Linked DNA regions of Callithrix jacchus. The protein of the gene in region 3 purifies or fractionates together with the protein of the main gene of each other region. This does not show direct contact. Links are inferred from orthologs where the notes say so. Each region holds a gene or a part of one and is shown on either strand. Other genes may lie near its edges.

Evidence for each region. The genes of interacting proteins can lie anywhere in the genome.
Region 1: the proteins of CHCHD4 (region 3) and TIMM10 purify together in Homo sapiens (co-immunoprecipitation; 4 studies listed by BioGRID and IntAct, with this or other methods). This does not show direct contact. The link is inferred for Callithrix jacchus from reciprocal best matches to the Homo sapiens genes CHCHD4 and TIMM10.
Region 2: the proteins of CHCHD4 (region 3) and TOR1AIP1 purify together in Homo sapiens (co-immunoprecipitation; 3 studies listed by BioGRID and IntAct, with this or other methods). This does not show direct contact. The link is inferred for Callithrix jacchus from reciprocal best matches to the Homo sapiens genes CHCHD4 and TOR1AIP1.

What each region holds. Positions count from the first base shown.
Region 1 is NC_133511.1:115,097,387-115,102,849, forward strand, and holds TIMM10 (mitochondrial import inner membrane translocase subunit Tim10), read right to left. Parts: upstream 3,731-5,463; 5' UTR 3,697-3,730; exon of another isoform or gene 3,636-3,696; intron 3,542-3,635; exon of another isoform or gene 3,318-3,541; intron 3,209-3,317; 5' UTR 3,164-3,208; coding exon 3,093-3,163; intron 1,587-3,092; coding exon 1,385-1,586; 3' UTR 1,142-1,384; downstream 1-1,141.
Region 2 is NC_133519.1:23,486,094-23,491,653, forward strand, and holds the start of TOR1AIP1 (torsin-1A-interacting protein 1), read right to left. Parts: upstream 3,731-5,560; 5' UTR 3,621-3,730; coding exon 3,146-3,620; intron 1,425-3,145; coding exon 1,347-1,424; intron 1-1,346. Other genes in the region: uncharacterized protein LOC144580249, read right to left, coding at 3,731-3,931. UniProt on the Homo sapiens protein: Required for nuclear membrane integrity. Induces TOR1A and TOR1B ATPase activity and is required for their location on the nuclear membrane. Binds to A- and B-type lamins. Possible role in membrane attachment and assembly of the nuclear lamina.
Region 3 is NC_133516.1:71,077,461-71,081,624, forward strand, and holds part of CHCHD4 (mitochondrial intermembrane space import and assembly protein 40), read right to left. Parts: intron 889-4,164; coding exon 581-888; 3' UTR 1-580.

The sequences.
Region 1 (5,463 bases), on a different chromosome or scaffold from region 3:
TAAGAGGAGCAACGGCTTTGAAGTTTTCCACTACATCTGTCATCTTCACCTCCCACCAAACTTAGCAATGAAAAAAAAGCTAATGTTACTGCATACTGAATGTATGCTAGGCACTCTCCTAAGTGCTTTGGTTGTTAACACGTTTAATTTTTGCAACTTCCTAAGAGGTAGGTAACCTTACTGCCATTTTACGATGGGGTAATTGAGGCACAGGGCAGTTAAAATGCCTCACCCAAGATCACACTACCAGAAAATTTCAGTAGAAACTCAAAGTTACATAGTCTGGCTTGAACCTGCACTCACAAGCCCCAAACTCACTGCCTCTATTCTATCTCCTTTATGTCAATGACCTAGTTACATCCCAGACACTTTCGCCAGGAAGGCCAACTTTGAAGGTACTACTGTCACAGTGGCATTGATGTCAACCACAGTCCCATCTGGAGACCTACACATTCTGAAAACTGCTCAGTCCTCTGAAGATGCTCCTCGGTGAGACAGCAAACGCAGTAGCAGTCGGGTCTGGCCTCCATATTATTGCTCTGCTTGTGTGAACTCAAGCAAGCAACATGCTTCTTAAATCCTCAGCTTCCTCATCTGTAAAACAGGGATAGTCAAAGGGCTAACCATGTTTGACTAACCGTTTTACAGATGAAGAAGCGAAAGCAGGCAAAAATGACAGGTTCAGGGCCACATAAAAAACAGCAGAAAGCAGGCAAACTGAAGCTGTCTTCCTGTTTTGTTTTGGTTTTTTGTTTTTTTTTTTTGGAGACAGAGTCTTGCTCTGTCCCCCAGGTTGGAGAGTACAGTGGCACAATCTCGACTCAGGCAACCTCTACCTCTGAGGTTCAGACAATTTTCCTGCCTCAGCCTCCTAAGTAGCTGGGATTACAGGCACATGCCACTACACCCAGGTAATTTTTGTATTTCAGCAGAGATGGGGTTTTGCCATGTTAGCCAGGCTGGTCTTGAACTCCTGACCTCAAGTGATCACCCACGCCCCAAGCCTCCCAAAGTGCTGATTACAGAGTGAGCAACCATGCCGGACTGTCTTACTCTTAAAATACTACATTAGTCTCCTCTCTGCTTGTGAGGTTTTCTCTGTTTACTCTCAAATGCCAAGCACACTGCTTTGCACATAGTAGGTGTCAACAAAGTTGTTTTAATATATATATATATATATACACACACACATACATTCACACACAGTCACATTCCAGTGTGACAAATACTCCTTCACCAGGAGAAAGCACTACCACTCTGGGATCTTGAAGACTCTACCGAGAGCCTAGGCCTGGCAGTCTTCACAGATGACACCCAACAGAGGGCACTTTTATTCGAGTGGGGAGGGGTGGGATATAGCCCAGGGTATATACTGACTGAGACCTCACGCGGGCCCAGAGCTCTGCTGCACCCTCTTCATCAGCTCTTCATCCTGCATAGACAACTCTGTCAACTTTTTGCCCATCCGCTCATGGATGTCCAGGTACTTAGACACACATCGGTCCAGGCACACAGACTCGCCCTTGGACAGCTCTGCTTCCTTGTAGTGAGGAGGCACACACTTCCGGTGGCAGGCACTGGTCATTCTGGAGGGAGGGAGGGGCAAGGTCATGTCAGCAGCATCCTGTGACATCCCAGGAACCCTCGACCATCCCAGCCCTGCTATATTGATTTCACCTTCCCCAAGAAAGCACTATAAATCCTCAGTTTCCACCTCAACCACTGGAAGCTCCTTGCAAGCAGGACACTTGTCTGAGCCCCTGTATATGACTAATTAAGCAGAAAGCATTTGTTAAACTGGCTATGTGCCAGGCATCATGCTAAGTGCTTTACATGCATTCTGTTATGCAATCCTTACAATCACCCTAAGAGATACTTATCCCCATTTTACAGATGAGGAAATTAAGCCAAGAGAGGCTCGGTAATTTTCTAAGAATCACATAGAGCTAAAATATGAACACAGATCATCTGGCCTCACTTCCTACACTTAAAAATCCTTCCTAATTTATAGCCTTCAGGGTAAACCAACCAATCAAGAGAGGTTAAGTCAATAAAAATAGCAGATATTTCACTGTTGCTAAGTGTTGGACTTGAGGCTAAGGGCTTTCAGAAATTTTTAAATGTAATATATATAATACCCTATGAGGTAGGTATCATTATGTCTTTTTCATAATGAGGAAACCAATTGTCAAACAGTGCAAGTAACACGTCCAAGAACACTGCTGGTGATTGGTGGAGCCGGGATTTGTTCCCAAATTTGCCAAATGATTATGAGCACTAGTTGCAGAATCAGACTGAGGTGCTAGTTCTGGTGTTGTTACTGACCAACTGCGGACTCTGAGGAAGTTACTTAACTTCTAGAAGCATCAATTTCCTCATTTTAAGATGGGACTAATAAAATTAACCCACTGGATTATTTTGAAGATTAACAAGTGACTGACACAGAATAAAGGGTTTTGTTTTTTGTTTTTTTGAGATGGAGTTTTGCTCTTGCTGTCCAGGCTGGAGTGCAGTGGCACAATCTCAGCTCACCACAACCTCCGTCTTCTGGGTGCAAGTGATTCTCCTGCCTCAGTCTCCCTAGTAGCTGGGAATACAGGTGCCTGCCACCATGCCCGGATAATTTTTGTATTTTTAGTAGAGATGGGATTGTGCCATGTTGGCCAGACATCTGGAACTTCTGACCTCGTGATCTGCCCACCTCGGCCTCCCAAAGTGCTGGAATTACGGGCATGAGCCACTGCCTCGGCCAAGGGCTTTAAAATGTTAACTACTAAATGGGCTGGCTATGTGCTATTTGCCAAAAAGCAAATACTCAGCTTTTCAGCTTTTCTTGGAACCTAACCAGAGCCTGAATTGGAGTTTCTCTTCCTGCTTGGCTCCCGCATCTCCAGTTCTATCCCCATCTAAATATTCTAGTGACCCTTTACTGCATCTGCATTAGAATCAACCTTGAAGGTGGGTATGGTGAGAGTAAGCATGGGTCTCTCGCTCCCCTACATTCAGGATGAAATTTGTTATAAGTCATTCACCTTCGAAAAGGGTGGCCAAGGCTTATTTTCCAAGACAGTGTAGCACATGGTTCTCTTTACCTGTTGTACATATCGGCCATCATCTCCACCTCCAGCTCTGCGGCCAGCTGTTGGGCCCTGAGCGGATCCATCTTGGCCTAGCACCCTGGAAGGGATCTCCTTCTGGCCTCCTAATCCTGGGAGGAGACACCACCGTCATCACCCACTGCCGTCGTTCACTCTCCTACCCCGGGGCTAGAGGATCCAAAAGACTCACAGGGCGCCAGACCACCAGGGGCCACTAACCTCAGTGAGCTTAACCTAGCTTAACCCCATTTCACGGATGTGGAAACTGAGGCCTAGTCCAAGGTCGCACGGGACATTCACGGCGAGCCTGGAAATCGAGCCCTGGATCTCTGATACCCAAGTCCCTAGAGGTCATCTCTATTCAGAAGATCGAGGACCGGTTCAGAACGCTCTAACCCAGGCCTGAACCTCCAGGGCCCTGGGAATGAGATCATACGCTGAACAGAGGAGACCGGGACCCGGCCCAAAGGATGCACTTCTGAAATGGTGACGCCATAATCAGGGACACATTGAATTCAGAAGTCACGGATCACTCACCACTACCTGGGACGGATCACAATGCCCACGGAGACCTTACAAATACTATAACGTTACCTGCCTCCCAAGAAGGCTCCAGCGGAAGCACGTGGATTACTTCCGGGAGAGAAGTCCCGCCTCTTCTTGGCTCCAAACTCGCTTCCGGAATGAAATACCAACGAGACGGCTCCGGGAACTCGGCGATCTTACAAAGGGAGCGAGCGGCGCCGGGCGAAGAGGAAGGCGATTTGCCAGTGCTAGAGGGGACGCCAAAGTACCATAGAGGCTTGGGCTGGGTGCAGAGCGCCTGCGGCCCGATCAGAATTCAAGTCTCAGGTTGTCACCGAGAGTTTTCAGTTTATTGGTTCTGTAGGAAGAGGTGTGGCGACAGATATCAGTGAACCTCACCCCCGTCCGGGACAGCCACAAATCAGGCGTGGAGACGGAAGAACACCCCCAACAGCGGTTCTCAGTTTTTGTTTCGCGTTAAAATCACCTGGAACGCTTTTAAAAATCCCAGTGCCCACGACTCGCCTCATTTCAATTAAATCAGAATCTCTGCGAGTAGGACCCAGGTATCAGTACAATTTAAAATTCCCCAGGTGATTCGTTTGTACAGCCAAATTTGAGAAGCAGTGCTCCATAGGACGTTGTGCGATTACTGCTGTGTGTAGATCACACTAACACTGTCTGGGTTGCAAAGATAAGCGAGATACGGTTCCTGCTTACAGAAAGAGGAGACGTGTGAAATACGTTTTCTTCAACAGTGAGAGGCCCTGAGCCATAAAAAGATTAATAAACGCAATTTAGGCTGCCACCAGGACTAATCTTGGGTGAGGCAGAAGGAGGGTACTGGTGAACTTCTCATCTTTCAAGACTTAATGTATTCCTCAAACTGCACCATTCGCTCATTGCCCACTAAAAAGAAGGAAACAACACTCAGTCCCTTGATTTGTCACACAATTTCCTAGTAAAATAAATTTACAAGATGTAAATTAATGACTCAAGGGTACATTGCCCATTGGAAAAGGTGGGCTAGACATTTTATATGTATGGTCGTCACATGCTTCTCTAATTGTCCAGGACCATCCTGATTTTAAACAGCTGACCTTCCTACTGCTCTGAAGACTCATCTTTGTCAAACCTTGTGCCCCGATTTTTTAAGATTGAGGTATAACATTCATGAAGTGCATAAAATACACAACTCTAAAGCTTATATATATATATACATTCATATAACCACCACACAGATCAGGATATGCTTCCTGTACCCCAAAAAGTTATCTAGTGTTCCTTCCCCATCAATACTCCCTCTCGAAGTTAACCACTATTCTGACCTGTATCACCATCAATTAGTTTTCCCTGTTCTTGAACTTAAGGTAAATGGAATTATACATTATTTTCTATTTTGTGCCTGACTTCTTATTTATTTATTTATTTGAGATGGAGTCTCACTGTTGTCAGGCTGGAGTGCACTGGCACGATCTCGGCTCACTGCAACCCCCACCTGCCCAGTTCAAGCGATTCTCCTGCCTCAGCCTCCTGAGTAGCTGGGATGACAGGGGTGTGCCACCACTCCCAGCTAACTTTTGTATTTTTAGTAGAGACGGGGTTTCACCATGTTAGCCAGGATAGTCTCGATCTCTTGACCTCCTCATGATCCACCCGCCTCAGCTTCCCAAAGTGCTGGGATTACAGGTGTGAGCCACCCCACCGGCCTGTGCCTGAGTTCTTTAGCTCAATTTACCTGTAAGATTTCTTCCACTTTGTTGTGTGTATCTGTTATTTCTTCTGTTTTATTGCTGTCTAGTGTTTGACTGTATGAATATGCCACAATTCGTTTATCCAT
Region 2 (5,560 bases), on a different chromosome or scaffold from region 3:
TACAGTCTGGGCAACAGAGCGAGACTTTGTCTCAAAAAAAAAAAAAAAAAGAAAAAAATTAGCATAAAGGTATGTTTATTTGAAACTGAACTCGAATCAGATATATTTACTCTAAATTCAGAATAGAATGGTTCACTTTATAAGGCATAATATTATCAGAAACCACGGTTAAGAAGTCAGGATGTGGGTACTAAAAACCAGGGATGATCAGTTTTAACAGCTATGGTCATTTATTATTGTGAGACTTTCCTAATATCAAAAAAAGCAAATTGAAAATTAAATGGAACTAAAACCCAAAGCATTAACTTAACTGAACTTAACCCTTTCTCCAGCTTTTTAAAATATTTTAAACAGCTTTTAAAACTTAAGTAAACTGTTAAATATAGCCTACTTCCATGTTACATTGATTCTAAGACAAGTTTTTTACACCCTTTAACATCCCAACAACTCTGAAATTGGGATGCATCATATAATTATGGCATATTACCATAAATTACCAAAAAATTGGCAGCATTTTCCCCTGCTAGGTGGTACATAAAACAATGATGATGTTTCTTTCTTCTTTTTTTTTTTTTTTGAGATGGAGTTTCGCTCTTGTTACCCAGGCTGGAGTGCAATGGCACGATCTCGGCTCACTGCAACCTCCACCTCCTGGGTTCAGGCAATTTTCCTGCCTCAGCCTCCCGAGTAGCTGGGATTACAGGCATGCGCCACCATGCCCAGCTAATTTTTTGTATTTTTTTAGTAGAGATGGGGTTTCACCATGTTGACCGGGATGGTCTCGATCTCTTGACCTCGGCCTCCCAAAGTGCTGGGATTACAGGTGTGAGCCACCATGCCCGGCCTAACAATGATGATGTTTCTTACAGTTGATGGCATCTTAGATTTGACAAATCACAGTATTAAACTGAAAAGACTGAATACATTGTGTCAAGATTTTACCAAGAAGAAAACTTAATCCATTTTAAACAAGAGGGCAGTATGACACATTCGTTCATTTGATACCTAACAAACTTCACTAAGTAGCTAGTTAGGACATGAGAGAATGACACTGAGCCACTTGGGGGAGAATGAAAGGACTCTGGAGAAGACAAACCTGGGTTTGAATATTGGGTTCAGTCACATAATGTGATCTTAGAGAACTGTCTTAGTTTCTCTGAGCTTCAGTTTTCTCTTCTATGAAGTTGGTATAATATTTATCTTTCAAGGTTATATGGGTGGCTGCTCCTCTGAGTACTCACATGTCTGCCCTTGTCTTTTCTTTACACATACTTACATTGCTTAATTCAATGAACATTTAAAAAGCTGGCAGGTAAGGAGAAAAACAAAAGGTTAACTATTCTTACCTGGAGCCTCCTGTGTGGTCCTGACAGTTTTCTTTGAGATTGTTTGGCTTAAATCACTTTGGGAAGATAATTCATCCTCTAAAAAAACAGATGTAACAAGAGTTAAAATTCAGAACATGACCTGGGAGATCATGGCACAGATTACGGATTTTTATAACAATAACAAAAGCAAAAATGCAAGGAATTCACTTCTTTAGAAACAGGTAGTTAGGTTTACCAAACTTAGGAATTAAACTAGTCAGAATTCCTCTTGAGATAGAATATAACTAATTCATCAGAACATAAAAATATTTGCATTGTTGTTTTATAAAAATATATTACTTCAGAAAAGTAAAAAGATGGAGTAGAGAGTCACAAATGGTGTGGAAGAAAGCAGAAGAGTGAAAAATGTTTAGATCCTTAAAGATTTAATAGAATAGGGGTACATTCTTTACTTCTAAAAAAAGTTAGCCGATATAACTGCACTGGGCTCTGTGGGACTCAATACAATGCAACATATTTATTGCCTACCATGTGCAAAGCATTCTTCCAAGTATTGAAAGATACTGGATTAAACCAAGTACTTAAATTACTATCAACTATATATAATAGGCTCCTTGTCTGCAAAAACTTTTAATCTTAAAAGAGATAAAACTAACACATATATGGGCCACACTGTCTTGAGCTGCTACATCCAAAAGTAACTGACGTAACTTTAACATAAAGTTTCCAAAATCAAGTCTTCAAATCTGTCAGTACCTTCACGAGTCAGCAGGAAAACCTGCAGTCTATCACCGTGCTCTAAAGTGCAAACCCACTCTTCCTCAAATCAATAGTCTACCACAAACTGTGTCATCCCATGGTGACTCAGATCCGCTGATTTTTACCTCGCAGGTACCTTACCGTGGGACTAACATGAAACTTCATCTGTGACTCAGTGTTAGGTTCCAGAATGGGGAGTGGAGGGCGGGGTGGGAGGAATAGGTTAAGGAAACTGATTGACCTACCACTTACCTAACACTGTACCTTCACTTTGTCAGCATCCCTTTTGTCCATTTGGATGAAAATGCTAATGAATAGTCTTGTTTTTCACGTTGCTTTGTCAGCCTGATTTACCACACTACTTTAGGTTACAGTGACGCTCACCAAAGTGGCACATTTTTAGCAGGGACCACCATACTGGAGAAAGAGCAATCAGCTCAAGTGTATCAGACACTGGGGAACATCAGTGCAGGATAAATGAGTTACCCCATTTCGGTGTAAGCACTGGGTGAGGTCTCAAATCAATTCACTGAACTCGGCAACCCCTCGAAATGCCCACTCACAAAATCTCTCCTTCTCTCCCCATCTGGGTGGGGAGGGAAAAAGACTGGAAGGTTAGATCCTCAGCTGGGGACTCTGGCCTGTGAGCTTTAAAGAAGGAAATGGAAGTGGTTTCGGTAGAAACATCCGCAGGGTAGAGAAAACCGAAATGAAACCAAACCTGGAATAATTCGCTGTCCCCTCGTGAAGGCCTGCAGAAACAGGCAGCCCTGACTCCCCTAAATTGATGCCCGATGTTGGGCAGAGCGCCCCAGCCCTGCTTCGGTCGCTCCGTACGACCATCTTTCCACTCCTTGGCTCGGCGCTTCCTTCCCGCTAGCGGGTCAGGATGGACGCTGCACGGGGGCACACGTCCGGAGGGGGCTGAGGAGTACCCAATACCCACTACCCAATCCCAGTACTTAGTACCCAGGCCGGGGTGAGATCCACCGAGGCGCGCGCCCGCCCTCGCGCGTTCCCTAGCTCGCGGTTGGGACTGTTACCTCCGCGGTCCTCACCTTCAGAGGAATGAGAGTCCCGCAGCCCTCTCCTAGCCGTAGCGGGAGACGGCTGTAGCGGAGACTGCTCTGAGTGCTGCTGCCGAAGGCGGGTAGCCCTTCGCGTCTTCATCTCTTCAGCTTCCTGGGGTAGCGGCTGCCTCCGCTGCCTAGACCGAAGATAGTACGCGCTTTCTCTCACTTCCTCTTTCGCCGAATCGGGCCGGAACTCTACTAGCCGGATTCGTTTTCCCACCGGGGACCTTTCTTTGGCCACCCGGGGCTCGAAGTCGCCGTACACTTCTGGCGGCTCCTCAGAAAACCTCACTTCCCGCCGGCCCTGGCGCGACAGAGGAGTTGCGTACGCAGGCGCATCGCTGCTGCCGCCATTTTGAGGGGCGAGCCGGCCCCTTCCTTCTCGGATGGGGGCCCTGGGGGTGACGTACATACCCAATCCTTCCCGCACCGCCTCCGGCCGCCGCCCCTCCCCCGCCATAGTTGTTGACGTAGCTTGAGTTGATCGCGAAGATGGCTTTAATGGACCCTAGGTTCTCCTGCCGGTGGTGGCGATGGCTTCTCGGGGGTGTTAGGCGGTGGTCGCTGTGGTCAGGGAGGCAGTTGAGTGTCGCCGGGGCCGCCACCTGCGTCGTCACTGCTGTGTAGCAAACCTGCCTCTGGGCCCATGGTGTGTCTTGAGGGCTGTGGGAGAGGCAGTGCCTGAGCTGGGTCAGCTGCTGTGGGTCGCTCCCGCCTCCTGGCTGGAGGCACCAAAGAGGAGGAGAAGGGGGAGGAGGACGTCTCTGCCATCGGCCTTAAGTAAGGGAGGGGTGGGGGTGACAGAAGGGTGGCAGGGCAAATTGCCTGTCCTAAGTCCAGCCGCTCGTGACAAGTGTTGCCTTCACGCAGGAAGGCTCTGGAAAAACGAGTGAGACGAGGATGGAGAAGACCAAGTTTCGCTTCTTGGCCCCAGGCTGTTGCGCAGTTCCCCTGGAATCTTTTTGATCGATTGTTACGTTGCCCATGTCCTTGCCAGTGTCCCTAGCAGAAGTGATGGCCAGAGAGATAACTTTTGCACATGTCATGTTTTTGTGGCGAAAATTTTAGTTTCAAGTTCCTTATGAAGGCAGTTACCTAGTTTTAAATTTTGTCACCTGTTGAGAGTGTACAAAATCCCATCTACAGTCATAGTCGTTGGAAATATTTTCTTTTCTGAAATATATCCAGAGGAAACATAACCTTATTCCTGTTCTTTAATATTTCTTGGTTTTATACCAAGAAGCACTGTTCGGAAGACCATGTTAGTGCTACATTATACACAGTGAGAAGCGAGCAAGTTTTTTGATTAAAGGCAGCACTGTAATTTTAAGTTGTGATCTATTACTTTTATTCTGGATATGACGTGATACTCTACATTTGATTTAGCATGTTTTGTGGACTTCATGGAATAAGAGCATGATAAAAGCTATTTGTTTCACCTCCATATACCATGTTTACAGATGTGGCTAATCTTCAAATACCTAACCAAATTTAGACACTCAGGGAAGGTCAATTAAGTTCGTGTAAAGTCTGAATTGTTGACAGAAAGCTTACTTCAAAAAAATAAAATAAATAAATAAATAAAAAGGCTGAGCGCGGTAGCTCATGCCTGTAATCCCAGCACTTTGGGAGGCCAAGGCTTGTGGATCACTTGAGGTCAGGAGTTCGAGACCAGCCTGGCCAACATGGTGAAACCCGGTCTTAAAAAAAAAAAAATTAAATTACTTTCACATGTACAACTTCTTGTAGGACTTTGTATGATTGATTAGAGTGAATCGATTTTAAAAATTGTAACCCAGCCTGGATTAGATGCTGTATTTTGGAAATTTGCTAGATTTACTCTTCTCCAATAAAATGCTGAAAAGTATTGATACCGTAATATGTGGCTTTCATTTATGTTTTAAGTAGCGCTTTCTCTTTAAAGTGGCTATTACATGACTCATTAGCAACACGATAGTAAACCCTAATAGATTTACTTATTAAATGTAAATTTTATAGTAATATATTGAGTTCATGTTATGAATATTAAAGCCTCCTTGAAACATTTTACAAAGACAGGTGACTGTAGAAACTGGGATACTAGCTTATAAACCTCGGATACAGGCTTGTAAAACCTAGGTTTGAGGGACAGATTGAAAAAGAGACAAGAGTCTACTAATTCAAGTTGAATTAGAAGTTGAGAGATTCTACATATTACTGAATAATCAGAATATGCATATTTTGTAATTAAAACTGCTTGTAAAGGCTTAGGAATGGCCTTTCAACTAAATTAACGAGACACTTACTGTAAAATTAGAGGCATGGTAACTTTAATGCTAACATATATATGTGTATATGCATAGGATTTTCCCTCTTTTGTCTAGGTTGTAAGCATATAGAAACATACCTCTACTGTGATTG
Region 3 (4,164 bases):
GACTAAGTGAAAGGGCCCAAATCTTCTTTGTCCAAACAACACAAAACCAGGAGCTCAACACCAACATGGAAACCACAATGTATCGGGAATGAAATACAGTACCCCTTGACATACTCAAGGTCAAGATGGGTTTGCAGAAATTGTATCTGACCATCTGGCCTCTGCTAGTAGATATGGCCCCACCCCAGCATTTTTAAGAGAAGATGTTTTTGTTTCTATTACTTGTATTATTTCCCCAAGGGGTATAAAATCTAGTAAGAGGAATATAATGAATCAGAATGTATCAGCTCACTCACAAGCAAGGTTCCTGGGTAATGGTTTTTACTTGCTGAGCTTATTCAGCATTCTATCAAAGTGGCGGCTACAGGTTTAGGTAGGACACACATACAACCCCCATTTTTTTCAGTGTATATGTCAAGAGGCCAAGACCCCTGATCATCAAAATAAGTTATTTTGCATATTACAGTGCACAGGACAACAGAGGGAAAGACACTTTCTGGAAAGGTGACTAAAAGGCATCTTGCAAAAGGTCCATATCACTGAAGTGGAAGGACTGGAGCCCAGTGCCTTGTGGCCTTCATTAACTTGACTCCTCTTCCTCTTTGGTTGCAGTGGCTTCAGAGGGAGCTGTTTCTGGTACTTGTTCTGCTGGCTTCTTCTTTTCTTCCTCTTCCTCATCCTCATCCTCTTGGGGATAGAGGTCTGGGTATTTCTGCATGCATTCCTGCATGGCCCGGAACTGGTCTACACAGTCTGACCCCTTGATCTCCTCCTTGCTATAGTGGAAGCAGGAAAAGGCCGACTTGAACTGTTCCCCACAGGGGCCGCTGGCCATTCCCCCAAGGCATGGGCAGTTCCAGTTAATGTTTCCATTTGGCAGTATCAATCCTGGAACAGGAAGATAAGCAAGGACAATGTGAGAGATGTTCTGTAATGTTTCAGAAAATACAAAACTGGTCCAGTCCTCGCAGGCTACTCAGCTGGTGCAGAACAACAGGAGCCATCGTTCCTATGGACCCATACCTCAATCTGGATTCAGTTGAAATGCCTAGCACATATCCAGCACTCCTTGGCCCAGCTAGGAGAGAAGCCATCAAGGACATGTTTCTCCATGTGTGACACTAAACTATTCTAAGCCACCTCCCAGTACTCTGAGGCTGTGCTCCAAGAATTAAATACGGGGAACCATTTAACCCAAAGAGACGATCACTTGGATGGTTAGTGAAGAGCTTTTTGAAAGCCCACTTTAAGGAACTGAGGTACTAATCTTCTCTTTCTAATCCCCTCCCCATATGGATGATTGGGACCACCTTACCCCCAAGCTCCCTGCCCCTTGAGCCCCTCTTGCCTTGCAGCTGCTCTCAGAAGCTCAGCGTAGTGTGGGGACTGGTGAAAAGGCAGAGGTTGCTCCTTATGTACTGACGAGGAAAGATGTCTAACACATGCTGCACAATGAGAAGCTGGTGGCATACGATTAGTGCGAGTGCATTGTAAAAAATCAAACTGTTAAACTGCACATGTGTGTGGGAAGGGAGCAAGGTTATAGATGAGTTTTCATTCTCACTATTAATAGGCCTCTTTTGACTTTCATAGCTTTTCTCATCATTGAACTTTATTCACATCTAAATAGTATTTCTTTGTTTTCCAAAATGCTATCAAAATGATGGCTTCATTTTCAGCTTTGTGACAGACACAGATATATGATTCATATAGAAGCTTCTTACATGAGTCTTACCAAGAACCTGAAAGCACTTTCTAAGAGGCCTCTAAAACGTCCTGTAAATTACACATGATTCTTCACTCCAGGGCAGTACCCAGGCCTGGCACTCTGCACTAATGTCCAAAGTCCTAGGTGAAACCCCAGCTGCCTCTCAATTCCAGCTTGGGAAGCTCCACTGATCAATGGACCTGCTGTAACTATTCCTGTACCTTATTTGTGAAATGGGGATAGCAAGGGCGATGCCAACTAGTGCTGCCCCCTTAGCAGGCAGCAGACCCCCAGGACCAGTAGCGGTTGCAGATCAAGTTCTCCTGCATTGTGTACTACTAACCCCAGTTTACACACAGTTTCTGGGGCTCATGGTCCACGTTAGGACTGCAGACTAGGCCGGCAGAGCCCATATCCCTTCCTCTACATCTCACCACTTCTTCTTGACAGGGACCTCAGTGGTGGAAAAACATTTGTAAATGCTGCCCCCTGGAGGTTCAAATCTGCTCACAAACCTGCACAACCAGTTTCCAAAAGAGAGAATAGGGACATTTAAAAATTGTAACCCAAAAGGTGGATCCAAGACGGCCAAATAGGAACAGCTCTGGAGTGCAGTTCCCAGCGAAAACAACACAGAGTCTGGATCTACTCGGGTATGAAGGGCCATACCCGAGTAGATCCAGACTCTTCAGCTGGGGCTACCCTCCTAGCAGCCCATTTTATTTCCCAGTCAGCACCAGATATTAGAAAAAAACTAAAGAAGGCAGAGGAGGGCCTCCAAACTCCCATATGAGACCTGGTAAACATGGCATTTAAAGTTTTTAATGGCGGAGAGGAAAAAGCTGAGGCCACCCACCAGGCCCAGCTACAGCAACAGGTGAGCCTCCAAACCCAAGCTCTTGTAGCGGCTCTGAGGCTGGCAACTCACCAAGCATCTGGTGTAAGGGACCTGTCAAAGGCCCCCCAAAAGGGTCCCTCAGGACTCTCTGGACCCACCCAGACTGCTTCAAAGGTCCCACCCAGGCCCTGTTTCAAGTGCAGCCAGGAGGGCCACTGGCCCTGGGACCCTGTCCTACCTGCAAATGGATTGGACACTAGAAAGTAGACTGCCCATCCCAGACTATAGGCTCACCCCCTGCACCTCCATGTGAGAGGCAGGCCAGTCCAAAAGATGCAGTCCCTTCGTTTGAACTCCTCAGCCTCATAGACGACTGATGTGGCCCAGACTTGGAGACCCCTATCGCCCTTCTGAGCTCAAAGTAATGCTATAGGTAGCAGGTAAGTCCATTTCCTTCTTGGTGGACACGGGGGCTACCTATTCTGTGTTGCCTTCTTACTCAAGACCTAACACACCTTCCCAAGTGTCAGATATGTGAATTGATAGAAAGCCCTCCTGCCCCAACCAGACTCCTCCCTTAGCCTGTAACCTTGAGGGGCACCCAATCTCTCACTCCTTCCTGATCATGCCTTCATGCCCAGTTCCCCTACTAGGGCGGGACATCCTCCAAACTCTAGGGGGTCACCCTCCAACACACTGGCCCCTCACAGCCAACCTCATCCCCCACACATCTTCTAGCACTAACCCTAACTGGTAATGCACCTGGTCATAACCCTTCACCTCAACCCCCTATCCCTCCTGAGGTAGTTAGCCCCTCAGTATAAGATACCTCCAAGCCTGTAGTGGCCACACATCACACGCCAGTTAAAATATTTCTCAAAAACCCTACCCACTTTCCCTCCCATCCTCAGTTTCCCATCTCAAAAAACCATCGTCAAGGCCTAAAACCAATCATCACTCGACTTTTAGCTCAGGGACTCCTTATCCCCACCAGTTCTCCTTGTAATACTCCTATTTTACCAGTCCAAAAGCCATCCAGTGACTACCACCTAGGCGAAGATCTACGCCTTATCAATGAGGCGGTAGTACCCCTCCACCCAGTGGTCCCCAACCCCTATACCCTATTATCCAACACTCCCTCCGCAACCACTCATTTTACAGTCCTAGACCTGAAGGACACCTTTTTTTTTTTTTTTTTTTTTTTTTACCATTCCCCTTCACCCAGAGTCTTATTTCCTCTTTGCCTTCACCTAGACTGATCCGGACACTAACCTGTCACAACAGTTAACCTAGACAGTCCTGCCCCAGGGCTTTAGGGACAGCCCCCACATTTTCAGACAAGCATTAGTGACTAACCTCAGTTCTTGCCCCCTTCAAGTCTCCTTCTCCAGTACATAGATGACCTGTTACTTTGTAGCCCCTCCTTCTCCATGTCACAGCAACATACCGCTATCCTCCTTAATTTTCTTAAGTCTCGGAGGTACTGGGTATCCCCCTCTAAAGCACAGCTGTCAGTCACCTCAATAACCTATTTAGGCATTGACCTCACTTCCAAGACTAAGAGCTTAACAACAGACCACCAGCAGGCGCTTCTTACACTACAGCCCCCACAGTATCA